Linked DNA regions of Callithrix jacchus. The protein of the gene in region 5 interacts with the protein of the main gene of each other region in a pairwise test. Links are inferred from orthologs where the notes say so. Each region holds a gene or a part of one and is shown on either strand. Other genes may lie near its edges. The genes, in order: BTBD6, PARK7, MX1, ETS1, DAXX, TCF7L2 and FAM9B.

Region 1 (4,225 bases), on a different chromosome or scaffold from region 5:
ACCTTTAGTTTCCCGTGGTGGCCCACAGGCGCCAGCGACCCAGGGGGACGGATGGGCTTTGCTGGGGCACACTTTGCTTCTAACCATATAGCATGTTCGGCATGAAAGGTTTTCTCCTGGGGATGGGCAGGAGCTGTTCTGTTGTTGAGAAAGAGAACACCCCCTCTACAATTACCGTAGTCATTACTGACACATGGTTATTTTAGACAACCTTTATTACACAAGTCCACTATTTTAAGTGACTTAGCCAATTTTAGATTTAAAGGGAAGGTCTCAAGTTAAGCTTGGAGCCACTTAGAATCCAAGACGGTGGCAGGAACATCCAGCCCCTCAAAGCAGGTGGCATGGGATCTTGGGGCCTGCCTTGTGCCCTAAATCTTCCTCCACCTGAGACATGCACCCCAGCACACCAGAGATGCCTGAGACCCCAATTCCCCCAGCTCTGGCTGTGTGGAAAAGGCATCCACTTCCCACAATCAAGGTTCAGCTGGCTACATGCCAAAGACAGGACTCCCTGGGCTCTGGCTGTGTGGAAAGGCGTCTACTTCCCAGAATCAAGCTTCAGCTGACTGCATGCCAAAGACACACAAGGTGAAGTGTGGCTTGCATGGTGTCGGGCAGCAGTTAGCATCTGACATTCCCTCTACTCTCTCTCCGACCTGCTGCGGCCCCCCGGGGCTCCTCAGGCGTAGAAGATGAGCTCAGGGATCTGCCCACCCTGGACCCCCGTCCCATTGGTGCTGTCGGAGGAGCACTGGAACTGGAAGGCCACCTTTCCACACTGCACTTCCGTCATCCCCTCCTGCCCAAAGTAGCTGAGCTCGCTGCCGTCCAGGACGGCACTGGCCGTGTAGAAGGTGTCTTGTTCCACTTGGACTGGGTGTTCAAACCAGACTGGGAAAGTGTTACTGGATCCGTCTGACATGAACTTGGTCAGGTTCTGAGCCAGAACCACCCCAAGCCGCTTGAGCTCAATCTTCACACTGTACTCAGCCTTCCCAGAGCTGGACCCATACAGGCCCAGCCCCGCAATAAATACCCTTCTGTCCACTGCGAACTGGATGCTGTCACAGCGCCCGCGGTACCGCCACTGGTTGCTGCGGTAGGCAGAAGACTGGAATCGGTGGCACCTCTGCGGGGCCAGGCCCTTCCTTTTGGTCAGGGGGAAGTCCAGGCGGGGCTTGTTGGTGGCGGTGTACCACAGGAAGATGCTGTGGGTCTCCTCCAGAGTCAGGATGTCTGACTGGGCAGCGCCGTTGGCAAACTCCTCTAGGGTCATCGTTGGAATTCGTACCAGATAGAGGGCTCGTCCCAAAACATGCCTCTTGTTTCGTGGGGTGACTGGCAGCCCCTGCCTCTTGCACTCCGCCTCGGCCCAGTTCAGGACAGCCTCGAAGACCACCGCCTCTTTGGTGTTGAGGGCCTCCCGAGTGATGATGATCTCCAGTGTCTGCCGGTCTATCTCACAGAAGCCTTCGGACCGCAGGGCCATCTCAGCCTGTGCGTCGATGACCTCCCAGCAGCGCTGCGTCAGCTCGGGCTCCTCAAACAGCCGGCTCTGGGACAGCAGGACGCAGGCGTTCTTGGCTTCCAGACTTGTCTCCAGAAAGTTGACGCAGGCTTTTGCCAATGCTGGGACAATGTACTTCTTAGCAGCGTACAGCGTAGCCAGCACTGTGTCGGCTTCCAGATCAATCTCATCACTGTACATGTACCTAGGCGAAGCAGGGCCTGGGTCAGGGGCTGGGCATAGGTGAGGAGCCCATCAGCTCCTGCAGGGTCCCCCTCCGAAGCCACGGGAGGCTGCCTAGAAAGGACCCACCCCTCGTTCCCCAGCACACAGTGGACTTACTTTAATAGGGTCAGAAAAGCTGCAGGCTCCACGTCTGGAATGTGAATTTCAGATTTGACTTCCGCCAGGTCCCCGTAGAACATGGCATAGAAGACCGAGCTGCCAACAGCCAGGACGTACTGGGAGGAGAAAGCGCCGCCGTGAGCCTGGCTGTCCTGCAGGCTGCAAGGCAACCACACGGCGGGCGGGGCACGCGTTCCGAGAGGGGCCGCCGCTACCCACCTTGTGGGCAGGCACCGTCCTGGTCGCCCCCGGAAGCCCCACGACGAAGTGCACGTCGGCCATGAGCTCGTTGTTGAACATGAGCGCGTTCCTGCAAAGGTAGAGGCGTGGGCTGGGGACGCGCGCGCACGCGGGAGCGCGCGGGGACCGCGGGGGGGCGCGCTCACCTCTCGCGCAGCGTGGGGCGGCAGCACCGCCAGCCCGGGCTCTCCGGGTGGTTGTTGCCGAGTGTGGGCGGCGCGGGCGCGGGCGGCGGCGGCGCGGGCGCGGGGGCGCTGGGCGGGCTGCACGGCCCGGCTTTCCTGCCCGCGGTGGCGCCCGCGTTGCTGTTGGCGAGGTCTGCGGCCGTCGTGCTGGCGGGCGCGTAGAGCTCCGCTGCCATCTTCGCGGGCGGGGCGGCGGGGGCGGCCTCGGGGCCTGTGGACGCCGCGCCCCGCGCTCTCGCGCTGCGCCGGGGCCTCGGGAGCGGCTCTGCAAGCAAAAGCAGGGAGGTCAGGCACTGAGCGACGCGGCCGTGCAGGCAGGCCAGGGGCAGCAGCATGGGCGGCGGCGGCGGCGCTGCGACCCGCGGAACTGCCACCCGCGCCCCTGCCACACCCCCGCCCCTGCGACCCTGCCCGAGCCCAGCCTAGCGCAGCCCGGCCAGGCCCGGCCGCAGGGGGCGCCGTCCGCGCCGTCCCGCCCGCCCGAGCTCGTACCCGCCGCGGCGCCGGCGCGTCACGCTGCGTCAGGACGCGTCACGCTGCGTCAGGGCCGTGCCTCGCGCGACGACGCTGCCGCGCGGTCCCGCCCCCAAACCCCACCGCCTCGGAGCCGCTGACGCCTTTGCCGCGCATAACGCGGCTCCCGGCCCTGGCAGGCTGCCCGACGCCCCCAGCCCCGCGGAGCCTGCGCCCGCCGGTTCTTCAGCTCGCGATGCTTTAGGAACGCGGGTGGACCCACTTGCCTGTGCCTCTGGCCGCGGCGTGTCGGACGGTCGGCGGGCTTCCTCGTTCCTACGGACGCCAGCAGCAAACGCTCGCAGACGGCGCGGCCCATTCTGGTCTCAGCGCTTTACAGGGGCAGGCGCTGCTATTTTCCTCAAGAAAACGGGCACAGAGAGGTTAGTCGCGTGCTGAAGGTCACACAGCGTGCGGGTGGGCGAGTCAGGATCTGGCGCCTCCGTGGTTGTGCTTGTGGATCACAGTCGTGGCTCGCTCCCCGTGGGGCCTCTGGCCTCGCAGCCTGGGGCTAAACCTGGGAGGTGCGTGGCGCTGACTTTGCGGATGAGACCAAACTTCAGGGGCGGTGTCATCTGGCCCCGCCGCGCCGCTGGTGCAGACGAAGCTGCAGAGGCCTGGCTGTCAGGAGGGTTCCTTCCCGAAGACGCACCCGCGACCTCCTGGACCCCAGGCTTCAGGCTGAAAACCTCCGTCTCCGGGAACCCCCCAGGATGCAGCCAGCAGCTCGGGTCAGTGGGCGCACCCGTCGCCCTGGTCCTGGGCTAAACAGTGAACACATCTGTGGCTCGGCGGTGGTTGCAGTCGTAGTAATTGTCCCTGGGAGAATCCCCTTCAGAAGACGGTGTATTTTCAGCAAAGGACCCTGGGATGGATGAGCCTACAGGTCAGGAAGGAAAAAGGCTGACGACCCAATTAAAAAACCGGTGAAGGACGTGCACAGACACTGCAGGGGCCCAGGGTGCACACGTCATCAGTTCTCCAGGGAACGGGGCCCCCGGCCCCAGGCTGCTGAGCTTGGGACTTGTAATGCCAGTGTTGGTGGGACGAGGAGCTGCCGGAGATCACCTGCTGCAGGTGGGCACGTAACTTGGCACAGCTAAGCCCTTTGGAAAGCTGCGCATGCACGAGGGCCCAGAAGGTCCCAAGAGAAACTGTAGGTGCGCCTGCCAAGGACACACCCACGGAGGCCACAGCTGCGATTTCATAGTGTGGGACCTCACTGGCAAAGACAGGTTGGCTACTGTGGTTTCCATCCCAGCCATCTGTCTCCATAGAAAAAGGTAACGGCATAGGCAGTTTCCAGGAGAGTACAAACGGCCGGGGTGCAGACAGTCCACACATGTCCGTCAGCAACAGAAGTACAAACGGCCGAAGTGCAGACAGTCCACACATGTCCGTCAGCAACAGAAGTACAAACGGCCGGAGTGCA
Region 2 (3,500 bases), on a different chromosome or scaffold from region 5:
AAAAAATTAATACAAAAAACTTTATGAAGTCAAAAAAAATTTTTTTGTGCCTTTTACTTAAAAAGTTACATTTTAACTTTAAAAAATGTAACGGGGGAGAATTTTAGTATCCCCCCTCAAAAAAATTCCTAGAAATCTAATCAATTTCAAACTTCCTGAAATTACAAAATGGAAATTTTGTATTGTACTTTAGGATGTTAAAAAGAGGTTTAAAAAAATCTAGTCATTAAACAAATTACAAAATAAAAATGTATTATGTATTTAGTGCAATCTATACTTTAAAAATTATTTAGAGACAGGGCCTCATTGTCACCAAGGCTAGAGTGCAGTGGTGCAATATAGCTCACTACAGCCTTGAACTCCTGCGCTCAAGCAACTCTCCTACTTTTGCCTCCCCTGTAGCTAGGACTACAGGCATGCATCACCACGGCCAGCTCATTTTTCTATTTTTGTAGAGACAGGGTCTTGCTATGTTGTCAGGCTAGTCTTTGAAACTCCTGGGCTCAAGTAATCCTCCCACCTCAGCCTCCCAAAGTGCTAGGATTTCAGGGGTAAACCACTGTGGCTGGCTCAGAATCACTTTTAAGACCATAAACATCCTACTATTGATGGAAAACCAAGCAAAGCTCAAAACTCAAAAGAAAATATGTAAAGTATAGAATTTGTTTGACTCCTTTTAGAATCTGCACTGAAAAATAAAAGCATGCAAAAGGTAACCACTTCCTCAAAAAACTCAGTAAACAGAACTACCATGTGGTCCAGCAATCCCACTATTGAGCATGTATCCAATGGAAAAGAGATCAGCCTACTGAAGAGACACTGGCACGCCCTTTTCACTGCAGCAATAGTCACACTAGCCAAGATATTAAATCAACCAAGTTCCAACAACAGATGAATGCATAAAGAAAACGTGGCATTTATACACAATGGAATACTATTCAGCCATAAAAAAGGAATGAAATCTTGTCATTTGTGGCTATAAGAATGGAACTAGAGGACATTCTATTAAGTGAAAGAAGCCAGGAACAGCAAATTAAACACTGCATGTTCTCACTCACATGTGAAAGCTAAAAAAAATTGACCACATAGAAGTAAAAAGTAGGACAGAGGATATTAGAGGCTGGGGAGGATAGAAGAAAGTGGGGATAGGGAGAGATTTGTTAAAAGATACAAAATTATAGCTAGATAAGAGGAATAAGTTTCGGTGTTCTATGCCCCTGTAGGATGACTATAGTTAACAATCATATATAGTTTCAAGTAGCAGGAGAATACTGAACATTCCCAACACAAGGAAATGATAAATGTTTGAGATGACGGATGTGCTAATCACTCTGATCTGATCACTATACATATGTATGGAAACATCATGTATCCCATGAATATATACACTTACTATCTATTGATTGAAAATAAAGGTAACCACTGTTTTAAAATACCCAGACACCACATGACAAAAACACAGAGATGAAAAAAAATTATTATTAGTTTTGAGACAGGGTCTCGCTCTGTCACCCAGGCTGAAGTGCAATGGCACACTGAAGTGCAGTAGTTCACTGCAGTCCTCAAATTCCTGCGCTCAAGCAGTTGTCTGGGCTCAAGTCATCCTCTTGCCTCAGCCTCTTGAGTAGCTAGAACTACAGGCATGCATCCCCATGCCTGGCTTTTAAAATGTTGCCCAGGCTGGTCTCAAAACTCCTGGCCTCAAGTGATCTTCCCACTTTGGCCTCCTAAAGTGCTGGGATCACAGGTGAGCCACTGCACTTGGCCTAGAATATTTACTTCTGCTTGTCATTCCTTTTTTTTTTTTTTGAGACGGAATTTCGCTCTTGTTGCCTTGGCTGGAGTGCAGTGGCATGATCTCGGCTCACCACGACCTCCTCCTCCTGGGTTCAAGTGATTATCCTGCCTCAAACTTCAAAGTAGCTGGGATTACAGGCACCTACTACCACGCCCAGCTAATTTTGTATTTTTAGTCGAGACAGGGTTTCTCCATGTTGGTCAGGCTGGTCTCGAACTCCTGACCTCAGGTCATCTGCCCGCCTCAGCCTCCCAAAGTGCTGGGATTACAGGTGTAAGCCACTGCAGCCGGCCTGCTTGTCATTTTTAATTTATTTCAACAAATTATATCTAAATACCAACAGTCTAATTTTCTACAATCCAGTAATGAAAAATCTGAACTTATTAAAAAGGATTAAACTTTTTCCTATGTATCTGAGGACATTTCAGCACACGGAACCACACTCTAGGTTCCTCAGCAGTGCACAACCAGCCATTTGTGAGCCAATTCTACCTCCTTTCTCACCATGACTCTGCTCCCAGAGGGCACAGTCCACACTCCTGTCACCCTGAGCCCACGACAGAGTGTGCAAAAGCACCTGTGGGGGAGCATGTTTTGAGGAAAGGGATGCTAGCTTCGAAAAGTGTCCACCGTCCTTAAAGGCGAGAACCGTAATTCTAAAGATATTGAAAAAGGAACACAACTAAAGTAGAACTCTAAGCGTAGCTTTAGAAAAAAGAATAATGGCCAGGCATGGCACATGCCTGTAGTCCCACCTACTTGGGGGATTGAGGTGGGAGGACTGCCTGAACCTGGGAGGTTGAGGCTGCAGTGAGCTGTGACTGTACCACTGGACTCCAGCCTAGGGGATGGAGCAGGACCCTGACTCTAAAATAGAAACAAACAAACAAACAAACAGGAAATGTGGCAATTGATTTACATCAGGTAAAAATGTGCAATAGGAGGCAAGGACACCTGTATAAGCCGGAAGAATCCTGATGGGAAGACAATGCAGCCATCAAGCTAAGCATCAACCCACCCATCTGGCCACACACCCACCCAGCCACCCACTTAGTACATTCAGTATCAAGCGATTGCCACATTCTATGGATACAGAATAGAAAGACAAAGTCCTCACCCTCTTAATTTGTCAGGGGAAGACATTCAAGCAAAATAATTTTCTAAAATGAGTCTGTGCTGACAATAGTCTTAGATACAGTAAAAAAACATTTCAAGAAACAAAGAAGCCGTATGAAGGAGTAACTCCATGTATGGATTACAAACCTCTTTTTTTGCATCTTCAAGACTGGCATCAGGACAAATCATGACATCACGGCTACACTGTACTGGGTCTTTTCCAGCCAGACCTGCAACGGTGACCTTTATCTACAAGAAATATATTATCATGATATTTAAGAACACTGAAACATAAAGAGTAACACTGTCTTCAAAAAAAAAAAAAAAAATAGGAGGAGATGGGGCCTCACCCTGTCACCTGGGCTAGAGGGCAGTGACATAATCATAGCTCACCGCAGCCTCCAGCTCCTGGGCTCAAATGATCCTCCTGCTTTAGCCTCCCAAGTAGCTGGGGTTACAGACATGAGCCATCACACCTGGCTAGAGTAACATTTACACAGCTGCCCTGTTTGAAAGTAACATGGCAGGAAATATTGCACCAAAACTGTATCAAATTTAAACTAATACGTTGGCTAAATATATTTAA
Region 3 (2,521 bases), on a different chromosome or scaffold from region 5:
GTACTTCTGGTAAACAAACTTCTCCACCTGTTCTAATCAGTAGCTAACATTTGTTCTCCCGGTCCCCAGCTCCATCCTGCCTCATCCTGGTCACCTGCTCCGGTCACCTGCTTTGACCTAGGTCATCCCTGGCTACCTGTTCTGACCCGCCCATAACAGTCCCTCCCACCGAAATACCCACCCTGCCCCTCCAGCTTGGACCCCTGCTCTCTTTAAAATAGCCCGTCCGGATTAGTCTAGCTTGTGCAGACTAACCCTAGCCAATAGGGGAAGGACACAGCAGTAGGGGCGACCCCCGTCAGGCATAAGCAGCCCTCCCTCCTTGTCCAAGCGTGTGGCCACCGCTGCTCCCTCCACGAGCCACACCTTCTATAGAAGGAAACTGCCTTGCCGAGAGGACTTATGTTCAAGTGCTATTTCTTTTGTGGCATTAACATTTTACTTATAACAATAGCATCACAAGACAAATAGCAGACCCTAAAGGAAATAAAAATATTTTACCTAAAAATATGTCTTTTGGACATATTTTCAAATGGCTGTTACAGGACCAACAGATTGAAATGGCCCTGCCATGTGCTGTTGGGGGAAGTCTGCACCTGTAGAGACTCTGCACGAATGCAGTCAGACCTCTCCCCTGCTAGAGCGTCCCTGAAACTAGGTGAGATTCAGTGAGAGCCTGCTGCCTCTAAGGCCTGAGAAGAAAGATCTCCCATCCATTCTCTCTGAAGGCTGCTACCTGGAGTCGTCAACTATGTGACTTTGGCCTCTAAAACTGCCCTTAACTCAGGTATTTCTTTCTACTGATGTCAAGTCTGTAGACAAAGCTGAGCTCTTTCAACCAGTGGCCAGAAAAGTTTCTGACCCACCGATGGCTGGGAAGCTCCCCTCGTTCAAGGTGTCCTGCCTCTTTACGGAGGACACTCACCCCTCCCTTGTATTGATTTATGATTTTACCTACAATTCCTGCCTCCCTGAAGTGTATACAACCAAACTGCATCCTGCCAGCCTCAGGCACACTTCTTCAGGACCTCTTGAGACTGTTCTTGGAGCCACAGTCCCCCATATTTGGTTCAGAATAAAACTCTTGAAACTATTTTAGCAGAGGTTGGTTTCCCATTAGCAATCCATCAATATCATCCACACTCATCTCCTGGAACATGCATTCGAATCTATGAGGAGACATCATTTTGCAGAGAAAGCTGAGGCTCAGACCCAGATGTCAGTGGCCCTAAGCCACCACCTGTCTGTCTGAGGTTGAACTACTTCTATGGAGGTGATATGGTTTGTCTCTGTGTCCCCACCCAAATCTCATCTTGAATTGCACTCCCATAATGCCCACATGTTGTGAGAGGAACCCCATGGGCGGTAATTGGATTATGGGGGCAGTTTCTCCCATACCGTTCTTGTGGCAGTGAATAAGTCTCATAAGATCTGGTGGTCTGATAAGGGGAAACACATTTCGCTTGGCTCTCATTCTCTCTCTTGCCACTGCCGCCATGTGAAAAGCGCCTTTTGCCTCTGCCACAGTGGTGAGGCCTCCTCAGCCACATGGAAGTGTGAGTCCGTTAAACCTCTTTTTTTGTAAATTGCCCAGTCTCGGGTATGTCTTTATCAGCAGTGTGAAAATGGACTAATACAGGAGGCTAATAAGAAGGGAACGACAGAGCTGACCATGCCATCTACAGAGACAGCAAGACTGAAGAAAAGGCATGGAATGGAAGCTGCCATCTTGAGCCCCGAGGAGGCGTACCTGGTGATAGGCCATCAGGTGCTGAAAGATCTCCTCCATGGAAGACTCTGATGAGGAGGGCTCGACAACCATGGCAAAGCAGGATTTCTTGGACCTCTTTTCTTCTTCCAGCTCCTTCTCTCTGACCTTCTGCAATGCACTCCTGTACACCTGGTCCTGGCAGTAGACAATCTGCTCCATCTGGAATTGGAGGCGAATCTGCTTCTCACCTTCTCTCTCTTGTTCTGCTCTAATGTCTTCGATTTTGGACTATGGAAAAGAAAGACACAGCTCAGTTTCCCCCAGACACAAATTCCCACGTCACAGGAAAGCAGGTAAGAAGTCTGTAAATACCAGACTACTCACCTGATATTTATTTATCCACTGCCCAGTGGTAGCCTTCTGGGCCATGCCCTGGTGTATCTAAGGTGGGTTTCTAGCCCTGGCTGAGGGTCAGAACTTCTGGGGAAGCTTGAGTCACAGATGGGCCGGACCCCCATCCTGGGGCCTGGGGACTTGCATGAGCTCTGTTTTCAGGCCCCATAACTCAGCTTCTTTCTTTTCTCTTTTAGGGGCTTTTATACCTGATGGCAAGGATTGTCATAACCATCAGAAAATCCACAGGAATGAGCAGGAGGGCCAGATTTAAGTCAGACAAATTCTGTTTTATGTTCCTGGGGTTTAGAGAAACTGGGTGACAAAACCCGGGAGGAGAAACTTCACCCTTGGACCCTCCAGGCCCTGATGAGGGCTGCGGTGCACAGTGGCAGGTGCATCCTAAACATCCTTCTC
Region 4 (4,024 bases), on a different chromosome or scaffold from region 5:
TAATTTTTTGTATTTTTAGTAGAGACGGGGTTTCACCATGTTGACCAGGATGGTCTCGATCTCTTTACCTCGTGATCCATCCGCCTCGGCCTTCCAAAGTGCTGGGATTACAGGCGTGAACCACCGCGCCCGGCCTACCATGCTGTTTTAACTGCATTGCCAACTTTATACAATGAAGGCTGATGGTGATGTTGCTCTAAATGAGTTATTAGATTTTCATGGACTTTCAGTTTGTATCTTCACTAAGAAGGGAAAGAAGCCAACTACAACAAATTTTAACTCCCACCTCCTACTCAAAGAAAATGGAACCTCTTAGGATACAAGTCTTAGATCAAGCAGTCAAATACTGACTTTCCAAAAAAAATTTTTTTTGTAATAACTCCATTCATAGAAATGAGATTATGGTAACATTCCTACCATAGACCTGAATATGTGAATATAAGATACTGTGTATTTTCACTTAGGACAAATATAAAATTTTCATATTGTTTACATTTCCCCTAAATGAGAAATGTATGAACACTTCTGCCCTTTTATTCCTACACCACAGACAAAGAGTCAGGGCTACTAAAGGTAACCTTATTTTAGAGATTGCCTAAAACCGTACTTACATAAAAAGGGGATTTCAGCTTTACTTTTCAGAAATCCCAAGTCCCTATCCAGTCAGCTCTCTTGCACAAAATTATTTTCTTTCTTTTAGAAAATATTGCATTTCACATCAAGTTATTAGTGAGAAACAGGAAGCCTGAGCAGGTGACTAGGTGATGGACGTCCTGTTTGCTGATAGTCTCCAGCTCTGTTTCTAAAGCAATCCCTTTCCCTTACCTGAGCTCTTGCCTAGGTTAGTGGAAGCTCCATTGAGAGAGTCAAGGAACTGGAAGCATGAATATTTACATATTCAGTAGAGAGTAAATCCATCAGTAAATGATGAGATGATAAGCAATGTTATCCCACTGAGCTAGTTCCCTTTTGCTCATCTCCCTCCCTGTTATTCCCCAAGGCTGAGTTATAGTCAGTTGAAACATAATTTGAAGAATAAAAAACAAGGTGTGATCTGGTGCCGCTACTGCCAATAAACACTGCTTTCCACCTAGACCGCTGAGCTTGTGCTAGTGGCTGCTGTCCTGGTGCCAGGGGCAAGAGGAAGAATGTCTTTTTTTTCCAGCTTTCCCTGGCTTGACCACACCCCCCAATTTAAGGAGGCAGCTCTATTAGAAACATTATGGTCTTTGCATCCTCCTAAGCTACTGAGCAGAGCATTCCCGCAGGTAGTTGGAAAGAGACCACAGACTTTGAGGGAAGCTCACTCAGGATCTGCTCTCCGGCAAAGTAGTAAGTGAGGTGTGTGTGAGTTTCTGCCTAAAACTTTTCAGTCTATTTTCCTTTTCCTGTTTAAAAAAAAATTTCTGCGGAATTAAGGAGCAAGTTGATAGGGACATTCCGGATACAAGTGTGTTTTTGCTTTCTCTTTTCTCATCTTTCTATATTCTCATTTAACTGTCTAACAATTTTCAAAAATACTTCCTAACCTCGTCAGAATAGTCTGAAAGCAAGACTATGTTTTTCAAAATGTTCCCTGCTTCTTAAAGCAAAACCATGCATGTTTTAGATACCCATAGACTACTTGTCAGAAACCCTGAATTTTTTTTTGCAAATTGGAGCACTTCCAAAGAAATAAAGCTGAAGTTGAATATGAAAATTTCTTTTTTTTCCTCTTTCACTCCTAGTAAGCCTATTGTGTTACTTTTTTTTTTTTTTTCTGTCTAGCAGCTTAATGAATTGCTTTTAATAGAGAGGAAATTGCTACCGGTTTGAATCTTGCAAGCAAAACTAACCTGTTTGGTGTTTTTAATCTGTCTTGGGACTGATTTGCAGTTGTCCAAGGATCTACAAGTTCTTAAGCCTGTTGTTGAAACATGGTGTGTGTGTGGCCAGGGCTTGTCTCAAAGTCAGGGAGGTGTTTCTTTTCCCCACTGTAGAGCTGGACTTCGTGGCAGGAGATGTCGATGGCAATTCCTCTCCATTCGATGATTTTATCTGGCTGTGACACTTTGTATGTGACTTCTCATCCACTATTAAAGGTCTCTGTTGCGACCTTTTAAAGTAGCGTTTTCTTCGGGCAAACTTAAAAGGTACTGGGTCACTGAAATCAATGCATTCTATTGCAGGTTTTCCTTATTACCTTTTGGATAAGTTTTCAATCTCAAGGCCATTTTTCTTCCTACGTTAGACCACTGCCATGAAACTGAGAAAAGAGATATTTGTTAAACAGCAGGAAATACCGAATCTAAAATGATAACTGGCAGCTCCATTTGATTTGTAAAATTACCGATACTATAACTCTTTCATCAGTTGTGGTTTTGGATTCTGTGGCCTCTTTTTTTTTAATCTGAAGAGAAAACCCTCGTGCACAGCTGTGGCCTGTGCACAAGGGCTGCAGGGTGGCCACTGCTGCTGTTGAGAGTCTCGCTCACCTGTTGTTCCTGAATGGAGGGAAGGGAGAGCTAATGCGTTAATGTCTGCAAAGTGCTTTGAAGATGAAAAGGTCTTTTCATGTGTTCAGCAGTGCAGTTATTAATATTAATATTTGAAGAAGCATGCTGCTTCTAATTGTAAATCAACTACTCCATCCTTGCCAACTCAGTAGTGAAATAACAAACAGTTCAGGCAGCCATGCAGCCTCTTCCGTCCTGGTTCCGCTGCTGAGGATGTGGGAAGCCAAGCTGAAAGCCTGATTATGGAGTGGGCATCGTTGCCTCGCAGGCTTCTTAAGTGGAGGTGCTAGTTGCTGGCTGTGAAAGGATGTCCTGATGCAGAGCCTGGGGGAAGCTGGTAAAGGATGGAATCCTTTGGTATCTGGCAGTCTGTGGTACTGGAGAACCAGCCAGAGCATGGACTTGAACCAGTGGCTGATCCCAGATGATAATGGAGTTTAAAGGCGAGTAGGGTCAGAACTTGAACCAGCGCTGGGTTGGAGTAGGGAAAGTGGCTGTGCACTTGGATTCTGTCAGTGATGAGCTTTGTAACTGAGAACAGTGATTGAATGTGACTGTAACTTATTCTCTTCATCTCTAAAAGGTAAACAATCATTTCCGCCCCGCCAGGTTTACAAAGATGAGAGAATAGAAGTAAACAGCATAGGGCTATGAAAAATCATAGTGCCAATGAGGTCAAGGACTGTCGGAAGTAATAATACAACAAACTGGGTGTGTGGGTGCAGGTCTTGTCACCTAGGGGAGGGTGAGACAGAAGGCAAAACACTGTGCAAACAAATAACCAACACATTTCTCTCTTTGATTGCACTGGTGAATTGCTTACCGATAACTAAGGTTCTGACATACCTTGTGATTTTATTTTATTGGTGAATGGATCTGTTTTCCACAGCGACTATCATTTTCTAATTACCATTTCAAAATTTCCAACTGTTCACATCAAACAGCAGAAGGGAATGATTACATCCCAGGAGCTGGAACCTCCCTCCCTCCCTCCCTCCCTCTCTCCCTTCCTTCTTTCCTTCCTTTCTTCCTCCCTTCCTTCTTTCATTCTTTCCTTTTTCCTTCTTTCTCTCTCTTCCTTCATTCTTTTCTCTCCCTCTTCCCTCATTCTGTTCTTTCCCTCTTCCCTCCTCCTTTCCTTTCTGTCCTTCGTTTTTTTCTTCATTATGAAATTCTAAAGTATTTAGCATTTGAGCACAATTAGTGTGGTATGCAGCAATTTAGTGGCATTTGAGGAAAATCTTGTAAGTTTCTTCAATCCTAGGGAAATTTAGATGTGAGGACATAACTTACTTTTTGTTTTCTCATCTCCTTTATCCCTGCTATACTGAAAATATAGCTTATCACAATACCCTTTTTAATATACATCATTCTCTGGTTATCATACTCGTTTTTCTTCACTTCATCTAAGGAAGGATACTCAGCCTTAATGTTTACTGAACACTTAGTATGTTCCAACACCCTTGCTGGGTGTTTTGCAGGTTCATTTAATCTACGATGAAGTTTTGAGGTGGGCCCTCCACTCTTGT
Region 5 (2,112 bases):
ATCGCCTCCTTCCTAGCTCCTGACATTTCCCCTGAAGCCCCGCCCCCCGTCTCCGGGCCTGGATTGGCCGAATAACCTTGAGTCGGTCTCTCATTGGCTTTTTCACTCCAACTGCAAGAACTGAAAAAGTAAAGTGCGTTAAGGCGGCTGAAGCACTTTAAAAAAAAAAAGTACAGCCTGAAAAACATGGCGAAACCCCGTATCTACAAAAACTACAAACGACAAAAATTAGCAAAGTGTGGTGGCGCGTGCCTGTAGTCCCAGCTACTGGGGAGGCTGAGGCATTATCACTTGAGACCGGGAAGTCCAGGCTGCAGTGAGCTGTGATCACACCACTGCACTCTGGCCTGGGTGATAAGATGAGACACAAAAAAAGAAAGAAAAAAAAAGACCAGGTTAGAAAGGACAGATCAGGACTACCCCGGGAACATCGGGCAAACCATGAGCAAGGAAAGGGACAGCTAATGCCAATCCATGACCACAGAAGGAAAAGACAGTGATACAATAAGAAAAGAAGTTTATTGTTTATTAATGTTTCTGTGTAAAACTTAAGTTTTTTTTTTTTAAAAGAAACACCAACAGGGGATTAGCTCAGTCCATCCTTTGCTCAGTCATCTGCTTCCCACCATCCTCCAAATGCTATCCCAAAACATTTTGGAGGCAGGGAGAAGGGGAGGCAGCTAATCAGAGTCTGAAAGCACGATGATCTCCTCTGGATCACACTGTGTGGCCACACTCGTCTGCAGGGAAGTGAGAGACAGAGTCAGAGAGATATGGAGTACAGGGGAAAAGAAACAGACAGGAGGATTTAGAGGATAAAACGTAGGTGGGAAAAAGCGAGACAGAGAATGTGGAGGGTGAAATATTCAGACAGAGCAGCTGAAACAGACAATGAAAGAGAACAAATTATCAGAGGAAACCCAGCCTCCCCTTCTTACCTTGTAAGTACCAGGCTGGGGAGGTTGTGACTGGGGGGTTTGGGACAGCCGGGCTGGAGAAGGGACGCAGAGGGAGCTGGTCACAAGGCCATGGCTGGGAGAGTCTACCCTTGTGGAGGAATCAGCAACCGGGGCCAAGGAAGCCAAGGGGGAAGGTGGGCTGGGCAGGGTACATATCTTTTTCCCATTCTTCTCATGCACTGACCTTCGCCTTTCCACATAGCTAGGAACAGAAACATAAATATGTGGAGGGGTACAGGAAGACTGAGGCTGGAGGGAAACAGTCCAGTCTCTCCCAACAGACTCAGTTCCCCCATATTCCTCTCCGAAAGTCCCCTGCAATCCCTCCTTTCAGGGAACTCTTCCTCCTCCTTCCCTCTTCCTCCTCCTGTTGTTATTACCTGTTTCCTAATGGCCCTGATCCTGTTTGCTTCTTCTCCTTCCGAGATTTTTTGCAGGGGGGGCCAGAATCTCCCCAGTTGTGAGGAGAGACGCCTCCATTGAAGGAAGTAGAAGAGACCATGCCTGCCCCATTCTCTAAAACAGTGGTGAGGGAGTCCTCTGACTGCTTCCTGGAAGAGGAAATGTCCGTCTCCACAGAGGAAGGGGTGGTATCCAGGGGCAAAGCTTCAATCTCTAGCTCAAAGAGCTGAGATATAGGGCTTTCTTCCTCCAGGGTCAACTCCTCAGGCCGTTCTCCATTGCTTTCAGCATCTATGCTGGAGGGGGCCAGGGGTTCTTCTGACAGTAATGATGGTGACACTGTGAGTCCTTCATTTTGCTGCTCCCCTGAAGACCTGCTGATCTCTTTGCCAGGTTCCAGGTTCTTTTCAGTAGAGATCTGTGGTGAAGACACAGGGCTCCTGTCTCCACCTTTATCTGGAAAAGAAGAAAAGGAGAGGGGGTAGCTTGAGAATGAGGGGAAAAAATACTGCTGAGAGGACACTAGGAGGAGGAAGGAAAAGGTCTCAAACAGGTGGCTTATGCCTAAGAAAACAGAAATGACAGGTGTGGATAATGTTTCCTTGACTTACCTGCTTCTTCCTCTTCCTCTTCTTCCTCCTCTTCATCGTCCTCCTGACCATCCTGCATCTGTTCCAGATCCTCCTCCTCTTCAGAATCTGTGGCCTCCTCCTCTTCCTCCTCCTCCTCCTCCTCCTCCTCCTCTTCCTCA
Region 6 (4,124 bases), on a different chromosome or scaffold from region 5:
AGTCTACCTCTTACCGAACATCTACAAAAATGAATCTTCTTGCTGTATCACCCAGCAACACTGTGTTTTGGGAGCCGGGCCTTTCCTCTTTAACATAATCCCACTCCCCATTTTGTAGCAAATCAGTCTGCTCCTCCTCTAGTAACTAAAAGTCAACAAATACCTGCCTCAAGCCCCAGGTTTCCCATCTTCTCCCGGAGGTCTCCTAGCATTGGTTTGGTTAGCAATTTCCTGCCACAGCCACCTACATCTTGATTATTTGGTCAGTCTTTCGGGGATTTCATTTCAGAGCCCCTTCGAAAAAAACTGCAGCCCAACTGATCCCAGGGGCCCGGTGAACTTTCAGTTTTATTTTTCCCTGGCGGTGTTAACGCCCAAACTTTTCACCTCCGAAGTTTTCAAAAAGGACTTTGACTCTAGCTCATATCCTACCAGCTCCAACGTCAGTTAAAAAAAAAAAAACAAAAACAAAAAACCACTAAAACACCACTCTACATGTAAAAGAATCCTATATTTTTTCCTTAAGGATACTTTTAATGTCTCTGACATTTAGTATTTGTTTTTTGGATAAAAAGTCATTTTGGCATATTTATCCTAGTGGGACTTAACAATTCATGAAATGATTCACTACTAATAAACAAAAAAGGGAGGAGGGGGCCTCATGGGTTAATAGTTTCTTTCATTGTAGATGACCAGGAACTTTGACCAGCCCCTTCACTTCTCCAAGCTCTCTGAAAGTGGAGGGTTGATTTTTTCTTTTGACCACCTCTGTCGCATGCCGCCCAAGGGTGGCTGATTCTACTGTTGAATTAACCACCAAGCATCCCCCCCAAACCCCGCCCCCAGCCACCACTTTCTCACAATTCTACCCTTCCTTTTCCCCTCTCTTAAGACTTATTTCTAATATTACTAAACTGCACTTTTTCTGGGCCTCTCCCCATCCCCGCCCCTCAAGTGGGCTTTCCTTCCGCCTTCCTCGGCTCGGATTCCTGACTTGGTCGCCACCCCCTTCTCCTCCTCTCCCACCCCGCATTGTCTTTCTGAAACCGCCCCCTCCCGGAGCGAGTCCCTGCACCCTCGCCCAGAATCCAGGGCTCGCACACACTCCGCGCAGGCCGCTCCCCCTGCACACTCCTCCCTCCGTCTCCCCCCTGCTTCCCCGCCCCTCTCCTCCTCCTCCTTTCCCTCCTCCCTCTCCCGGCGCCCGAAAGGATCATTGTTAGCCGCCCCCGCCCCGCCCACCCGGGCTGTTTATTTATGCACACGTCACCGGGCAGGCCCCGCCCTCCGGCATCTCATTAAGGCAGTGTGTTCCTCTCGCCCTGTCAATAATCTCCGCTCCCAGACTACTCCGTTCCTCCGGATTTCGATCCCCCTTTTTCTATCTGTCAATCAGCGCCGCCTTTGAACTGAAAAGCTCTCAGTCTAACTTCAACTCACTCAAATCCGAGCGGCACGAGCACCTCCTGTATCTTCGGCTTCCCCCCCCTTTGCTCTTTATATCTGACTTCTTGTTGTTGTTGGTGTTTTTTTTTTAACCCCCCTTTTTTATTTATTATTTTTTCGCACATTGATCGGATCCTTGGGAACGAGAGAAAAAAGAAACCCAAACTCACGCGTGCAGAAGATCTCCCCCCCCTTCCCCTCCCCTCCTCCCTCTTTTCCCCTCCCCAGGAGAAAAAGACCCCCAAGCAGAAAAAAAAGTTCACCTTGGACTCGTCTTTTTCTTGCAATTTTTTTTGGGGGGGGCAAAACTTTTTGGGGGTGTTTTTTTTTTTTTTTTGGTTTTCTTCCTCCTTCATTTTTCTTCCAAAATTGCTGCTGGTGGGTGAAAAAAATGCCGCAGCTGAACGGCGGTGGAGGGGATGACCTAGGCGCCAACGACGAACTGATTTCCTTCAAAGACGAGGGCGAACAGGAGGAGAAGAGCTCGGAAAACTCCTCGGCAGAGAGGGATTTAGCTGATGTCAAATCGTCTCTAGTCAATGAATCAGAAACGAATCAAAACAGCTCCTCCGATTCCGAGGTAGGAAAAGCCCCTCGGGCTGGTGGGGTTTTTTATCTGTTTCCTGGGCTTGGCAAATGTTGCTGAAAGGGGAGAAATCGGGGCTAGGGGCGGCGGCGGGGCCCGGCGGGCGGCGTGTGCGTGCGGTGCCACCATTGCAAAAACTTGTAACCCTGTTTTTTCTACCCCCCCACCCCGACCTCGCCGATTCTTTTTCTCCCCGTTCTCCTCCCTCTGCGTGGCGTTTGCCCCTCGCCCTCCCCACCTCCACCCCTCCGGGAAGGCGGAAAGACGGCCTCCGCCTCGCTCCGAAAGTTTCCGAGATAAATCCCGAGAAAGTTTGGAAGAAGGTGAGTACGCCCCGCGCGCCCCGCAGCCGCCCCCCGGGCCGGCCGCCCGCCCCGCGCGCCCGGGCCCCGCGCCCCGCTCGGTCCGGCCCCGCGCCGGTCCGGCCGGGGCGCCCGGCCCCTCGGGGCACTTTCTAAAAAGTTTCTCCTCGCTCTCTCCCGCTCCGCGCGCCCGCCGCCGTCCTCTCGCCGCCCCGCCATGTTAGCGGCCAAGAGGCAAGATGGAGGGCTCTTTAAGGGGCCACCGTATCCCGGCTACCCCTTCATCATGATCCCCGACCTGACGAGCCCCTACCTCCCCAACGGATCGCTCTCGCCCACCGCCCGAACCGTAAGTGCCTCCGCGCCCGGCCCCCGCCCGCTGCCCGCCCGCCCGCGCCGCCCGCCGGGCCCTGCATGCGGCCCCTGCCCTGCCCCCTCCCCGCCTCCCCCTCCCCGCCTCCTCCCCTCCCTCCCTCCCCTCCCCCGCTCGCGGCCCAGGCGGCCCGAAACTCTCCAAACTTTTCTGCCTTTTGTGGACTGGATTTGTTTGCACTTCGCCACGTTCTTGCTTTCAGTTTGCTGCCTCGTGATGTTGGGGAGACCTCTCTTTCCAAGCAGGGCTTTGTTGTGGGGGGGATCCGAAGAACTTTTCTTTTGCGCTCTGGTTCCCCCTCCCCTTTTGGTGGCGGTGGTTGTTTCTTCACCCTGGGAAGATGACTGTGTGGCTCTTTCTTTGCTCTCTCTCCCTCTCTCTCCTTCTCTTCCTTCCCTCTTCTGTGGTGTCTTGGGCTTTCCCCGATTAACCCCTTGGCTGCCGCTGCGGGCCCTGAGTGACTGTGCTGCGCCCGACGCGCGGGCTAGAGAGTGGGTTTCCTCCAGGCGTTGGACTTGAGAACTGGCGAGCGCGCAGAGCCGGGGGCCTTGGAGAGGCGCCTTGGCTTTCTCTTACGGGCGGCTGTGTATTTAGCTTTCTAGTGGCGATCGCGGACTCTCGGCCCTCCTTCCTCCTTCCCCTGGAAGGTCACACTTCCCAGATTGGTCCCACCGCAAACTTGGGGGCTCTGAGGAGCCCTTTTCTTTGGCAACCTGCGGGGCCGCGGGCGCCCTGGGTGCTGTGGCGGGCTCGGCTGCCCCGTACGCTGGCTGCGGGCTCTCCTGGGCCGCGCGGGGCAGCGGGGCAGAGCGGGGCGGGGATGCCCCTGCGGCCCGGGTTCTGGGTTTGTGTGCAGCCGGATGGCCTCCTCGGAGCAGACTTGTATATTTCTAGGGAATTTTGGCGCCTTGGGTTGTATGGCGGGGTCTGCGCTCGCCAGCTTCCGTGTAGGCCCTTCGTGGGGCCCCCCCGGGGGGGGGGCAGAGACCAGGGTGTGCGGGCTCAAGGAGGTGCAGGGGCCGAGGGAGGCCGGGGCGCCTCTCCTTCCAGGGAGTGGGTCGCCGATCGCCGGCCAGCCAACTTTGGGGGCCCCAGGGCAGCGCGGGGTGCCGGGCTCCGGGGGCGCTTCCTGCAGCGTCGGTCCCGCGCCCAACCCTGACATTTGTTAAGACGGCTCATCCCCTCCCCCACCGGCCTCTGCCCCCTGCCCTCACCCTGAACCCCCTCCTCCTCATCCCTCCCTCTCTCTTCTAAGAAGCCTGGATTACGAATCTCTGGACGCAAGACGCGTTTGCGCCTGGCTTCCCGGGATTGTCATTTTACACCCTCTCCGGTTTGGTCCCCATACCCCTTATTTACACACACGACTTTTGTTTTTTCTTTTTCGGTAACTTTAGTTAGCAATTTGAGATAATGC
Region 7 (4,092 bases), on a different chromosome or scaffold from region 5:
AACACACTCAATGTATTAGGCAACTCACAAAACCAGCACTTTGTCACCACCAAGCGAGCAAAGCTTTCCAAATATTCTGCTTATGTGTATTATCGCTATAGAAAAGCTGAAAACTGAATTGAGCTTTTTAAAAATAAGAGTATTGTCTCCATCATCTCTACAGAAATTTTCTCAAACTTTTTTGAAAATACGGTCCTATAACAGTCAGTGCAACTAACATGTAACATGCCTATACAAAATGTATGAGTTTTTGGATCCAATGACATGTTTCCCACTGGGTAGAAAAGTTGTCTTTCCTTTTCTACTACACAGTTTATTGCTGGAATAATAATAGAAAATCATTTTCGAGAATTCAATTTTTTTAAACAAAATCAGAAAGCTGTGACAATAGAATAGCTGAATTAGAAAGATGAAAAACTCCTATTAAACACTCTGAGTACATAGGGACAGGAAGAGGAGAACAACAGACACCTGGGCCTACTTGAGGGTGGCAGGCAGGAGGAGAGTGAGGATGAAAACCACCCAGCAGGTACTATGCTTATAATCCTGGGTGACAAAATAATCTGTACACCAAACCCCTGTGACACGCAATGTATCTAACAAACCTGTACATGTACCCTCAAACCTAAAGTAAAAGATTGAAAAAAAAACTGATATATGACTTAATCTGTGTACACTGAAAGGATTGAATAGAGCTGTTTCTCCTCCAATGTCCTCTAATATCCCCCAACAATTAACTTTCCATGTGTATGAAAGAAAAGCCATCCCTCTCGATTCACCATTGTTAGAAGCATTCTTACATTACACATTAATGATCACAAAGGTAAGAAAAATTTATCAAACAGATTATGGTAAATACTTAAGTTAAATGCTACATATGAGAAGAAGGCATGTAAGACAGTCTGTCATCCACTAATTCACATAACCTACTGTAACAGTTGTACCGTTGAAAACAATTTTCATAAACTACAGATACTTCCTAAGGCATACCTGCAATATCTTCTGGCTTGTTGGTATCAACCCTATAAAAAAAAAAGTTACATCAAAATTTTAACATAGGACTACACAAAATGTCGTGTTTGTTGGGAAAAAATGTCTTATGTGAAATGTTCTGCATAGACTAGAACGGTGATGACATGATCCAAAGCTGACTTTTCCTAAAAGGCTCTATCCGACAGACAACAGTGACTTCACACTTTACCCCTCATATTCATCTGTTTCATCAAGAGGTTCTCTTTCCCCCTGCTCAGCAGTTACATCTTCCTCCTTTGTTTCTGTAAAAGGGTTTCTTTCCTCACGTTCATCAATTACTGGATCCTTTCCTGCATCAAAATTTAAAAGACAAATCCGTTTTTAGAGGAAGACGCTGTTGTGGACATTTTTCATGGAGAAACGTACCGTTTGTGGACTTGTTTTTGGCTGTCTGCCAACTAAAGCTTTAAAGCAGGGCTATACGTGGAATCACCGGCTCCTGACCATTTAATGGAGGCACTTTTGGAAGCCCTTGGGGTTCAAGTCCCAGTAAACGACACACTACAGGTCAGACTCCTTGGACGCCAGGACCTCAGCCATGGAGAAGAGCTACTCTGAGAGCACCTGTAACCCTGCCTGAGGTGGAGCCTCCCGTGGGAAGTCTAAGGCCCTCGAGCCTGCTTTGAAAACCGGGATGTCTTAGCACGTGCACAGTGGACTCCAAAGCCATGAAGAGGCCGGGGACCTTGGGTTGCCAGTGTGATCCCCAGCAGAGATCAGACAGACGTCTCCTTGGGCGTGCGCCTGCTTCCGGGTCCCCTTGGGCTGTGTTTACCTGCATGCTCTTTGTCCTGGGCAGCCATACCTTGAGCTTCCAAGTGGGCCTTGGCAGCCCTCCTGCTGTGCTTTCTGCCCCTGCGTTCCATGGCTGGCCGTCCTGGGAAACTAGAGGCGACCCCGGAACCTGGTGAGCGCAAAGACGACTAAGGAAGCTAAGGAAACGAGGCGTCAGAAAGGAAAGCCATTGGGATCGCGGGTTCAAGATGGGTGGGGTTGGCCCTCCCCGAGTCTCCTGTGGGAGCAGGAGGGAGGGAGAAGATGCCAGTGTCCCCTCCCGTCCTGGCCCGTCCAGCCCGTCCCCGGGGGTGGCTGCAGAGTTCACAGCTGCCTCACACACCTGAACTCCACGGCCTCTGAGGCATCCTACCCGCGCCTTTGGGACAGAGTTTGGCCTTGCCCTTGGATCCCCAAGAGACCCTGAGTGGCTGGGAGGGCGGCGGAGTGACACAGGATCTCCCCAGCCATCTCCAGAGGAATGTCAGGAGCTACACTGCCACTCGCTCTCCTGGATGCACAGGGCACCTCCAGTGACCTGAAGTGTCCTGTTCTGACAGGATGCTGGGCAGGAGAGACCCACTCAGACCGTCCCCCATAACGCCCCCGGCCCGCCTCACTCCCCTCCCCGGCACCGTCAGCCCCTCCCCCTTGCACACCTACAGAAGCACCCAGAACACTCCCTCGTCCTGGGGGGCCACCCAGGTGGCTCCAGCTCCCTCCCTGCTCCAGCCACCCCAGTCTACCCTCAGTGCCTCGCCCTGACCTAGGCCCCAGGTGAGGACCCCAGGACCATTTCCTCACAGGTCAGCTGGCGCCCAGCTCTTCACACCCTGGTTCCCAGACGGTCTTGTGCCCACCTTCCCACCTCCCTGCCTCAAGTGCGTCACCTGAGGGACCCCTGATGTGGCTCCTTCACAGAACCTACAGAAGACACTGGCACTACGAGACTGTCTTAGAAAGAGACCCGGCCTGGCTTCCCACGCTCCTCACTGATTGGTCAGCTCAGTGCGCATGCGCATGCGCATGCCGGTGAAGGACTGTGTGGGGCCAACCCCCTGCTGCCACGCCTCTCCTTCCCCTTAAGGGACCGACCAGGGCTTACTGTTGACTGAAGTTGGGGTGGCCCTTTGGGGCCTCCATCCCCACAATCTTCTGGCTCCTCCTCTTGGGGTGGGATGCAAGGACTCGGAATGGAGGCCAAGTGGACAAGGCCTCCTAGCATCTCGCCCCTGGACTCGTTCCAGCCACCCCTGCCCCTTTGGCTGGAATGGCCATCACCCTATGGGTGGTGCCCAGGCTCCTTTCCATTCCCTGTGTGCTTCCAACATGCCCTGCTGCATCCTTTTTATCAATGGATTGCGCTTTTATGTTTTCTGTTTTTGACACTGAGTCTCGCTCTATTGCCCAGGTTGGAGTGCAGTGGTGCAATCTCGGCTCACTACAACCTCTGCCTCCCGGGTCGAAGCTATCCTTCTGCCTCAACCTCCCGACGAGCTGGGATTACAGGCTCCCAACACCAAGCCCTGCTAATTTTTTAAATTTTCTTTTCTTTTCTTTCTTTTTTTTTTGAGACAGAGTTTTCGCTCGTTACCCAGGCTGGAGTGCAATGGCGCGATCTCGGCTCACCGCAACCTCCGCCTCCTGGGTTCAGGCAATTCTCCTGCCTCAGCCTCCTGAGTAGCTGGGATTACAGGCACGCACCACCATGCCCATCTAATTTTTTGTATTTTTAGTAGAGACGGGGTTTCACCATATTGACCAGGATGGTCTCGATCTCTTGACCTCGTGATCCACCCACCTCGGCCTCCCAAAGCGCTGGGATTACAGGCTTGAGCCACTGCGCCTGGCCTAATTTTCTTATTTTTATTTTTTGGCTGATCTCAAACTCTTGACCTCGGGTGATCCGCCTGCCTATGCCTCTCAAAGTGCTGAGGTTACAGGTGTGAGCCACCCCACCAGGCCCACAACCTTTTTTGTTTCCTCACTACTTTTCTTGCCCACAGGCTTGCCCAGGCTTGCCCACAAACCCTCATGCTCCAGACTTTTCCAGACATATCCCACAACCTTCACCCTCAAATGCCTTAATATCGTTAACTCAGCTTGTTTCCACCTCCAGTCTTCTATAATAGGTCGTAAAGGTTGTTTTGGAGTTGGGAGTGAATAAATACTGCCTAGAGTTGGTAAATCGAGCTACAGAGGTTCATTATGTTATTGAAATTATAAAGGCAGTCATCAGGAAAACTAATCAACAGCCTTTAATGTCTATATAACGAGAAAGAGCAC

The links.
Region 1: the proteins of DAXX (region 5) and BTBD6 interact in a two-hybrid assay, tested with the Homo sapiens proteins (2 studies listed by BioGRID and IntAct). The link is inferred for Callithrix jacchus from reciprocal best matches to the Homo sapiens genes DAXX and BTBD6.
Region 2: the proteins of DAXX (region 5) and PARK7 interact in binary tests that used the Homo sapiens proteins (3 or more experiments, as listed by UniProt). The link is inferred for Callithrix jacchus from reciprocal best matches to the Homo sapiens genes DAXX and PARK7.
Region 3: the proteins of DAXX (region 5) and MX1 interact in a two-hybrid assay, tested with the Homo sapiens proteins (2 studies listed by BioGRID). The link is inferred for Callithrix jacchus from reciprocal best matches to the Homo sapiens genes DAXX and MX1.
Region 4: the proteins of DAXX (region 5) and ETS1 interact in binary tests that used the Homo sapiens proteins (3 or more experiments, as listed by UniProt). The link is inferred for Callithrix jacchus from reciprocal best matches to the Homo sapiens genes DAXX and ETS1.
Region 6: the proteins of DAXX (region 5) and TCF7L2 interact in binary tests that used the Homo sapiens proteins (3 or more experiments, as listed by UniProt). The link is inferred for Callithrix jacchus from reciprocal best matches to the Homo sapiens genes DAXX and TCF7L2.
Region 7: the proteins of DAXX (region 5) and FAM9B interact in binary tests that used the Homo sapiens proteins (3 or more experiments, as listed by UniProt). The two-hybrid records come from large-scale screens. The link is inferred for Callithrix jacchus from reciprocal best matches to the Homo sapiens genes DAXX and FAM9B.

The regions. Positions count from the first base shown.
Region 1 is NC_133509.1:140,102,195-140,106,419, reverse strand, and holds BTBD6 (BTB/POZ domain-containing protein 6), read right to left. Parts: upstream 2,801-4,225; 5' UTR 2,616-2,800; coding exon 2,242-2,615; intron 2,174-2,241; exon of another isoform or gene 2,166-2,173; coding exon 2,075-2,165; intron 1,972-2,074; coding exon 1,853-1,971; intron 1,716-1,852; coding exon 683-1,715; 3' UTR 198-682; downstream 1-197. UniProt on the Homo sapiens protein: Adapter protein for the cul3 E3 ubiquitin-protein ligase complex. Involved in late neuronal development and muscle formation.
Region 2 is NC_133508.1:45,845,144-45,848,643, reverse strand, and holds part of PARK7 (Parkinson disease protein 7), read right to left. Parts: intron 3,164-3,500; coding exon 3,062-3,163; intron 1-3,061. UniProt on the Homo sapiens protein: Multifunctional protein with controversial molecular function which plays an important role in cell protection against oxidative stress and cell death acting as oxidative stress sensor and redox-sensitive chaperone and protease.
Region 3 is NC_133522.1:47,284,102-47,286,622, reverse strand, and holds part of MX1 (interferon-induced GTP-binding protein Mx1), read right to left. Parts: intron 2,000-2,521; coding exon 1,751-1,999; intron 1-1,750.
Region 4 is NC_133511.1:28,281,487-28,285,510, reverse strand, and holds the start of ETS1 (protein C-ets-1), read left to right. Parts: upstream 1-1,224; 5' UTR 1,225-1,332; exon of another isoform or gene 1,333-1,341; intron 1,342-4,024. UniProt on the Homo sapiens protein: Transcription factor. Directly controls the expression of cytokine and chemokine genes in a wide variety of different cellular contexts. May control the differentiation, survival and proliferation of lymphoid cells.
Region 5 is NC_133505.1:41,560,895-41,563,006, forward strand, and holds the end of DAXX (death domain-associated protein 6), read right to left. Parts: coding exon 1,973-2,112; intron 1,818-1,972; coding exon 1,340-1,817; intron 1,162-1,339; coding exon 939-1,161; intron 741-938; coding exon 681-740; 3' UTR 501-680; downstream 1-500. UniProt on the Homo sapiens protein: Transcription corepressor known to repress transcriptional potential of several sumoylated transcription factors. Down-regulates basal and activated transcription.
Region 6 is NC_133513.1:105,892,379-105,896,502, forward strand, and holds the start of TCF7L2 (transcription factor 7-like 2), read left to right. Parts: upstream 1-1,324; 5' UTR 1,325-1,837; coding exon 1,838-2,026; intron 2,027-2,288; coding exon 2,289-2,355; intron 2,356-2,558; coding exon 2,559-2,683; intron 2,684-4,124. UniProt on the Homo sapiens protein: Participates in the Wnt signaling pathway and modulates MYC expression by binding to its promoter in a sequence-specific manner. Acts as a repressor in the absence of CTNNB1, and as activator in its presence.
Region 7 is NC_133524.1:9,247,216-9,251,307, forward strand, and holds the start of FAM9B (protein FAM9B), read right to left. Parts: upstream 2,801-4,092; 5' UTR 2,697-2,800; intron 1,965-2,696; 5' UTR 1,899-1,964; coding exon 1,808-1,898; intron 1,323-1,807; coding exon 1,202-1,322; intron 1,023-1,201; coding exon 991-1,022; intron 1-990. UniProt on the Homo sapiens protein: May play a role in meiosis.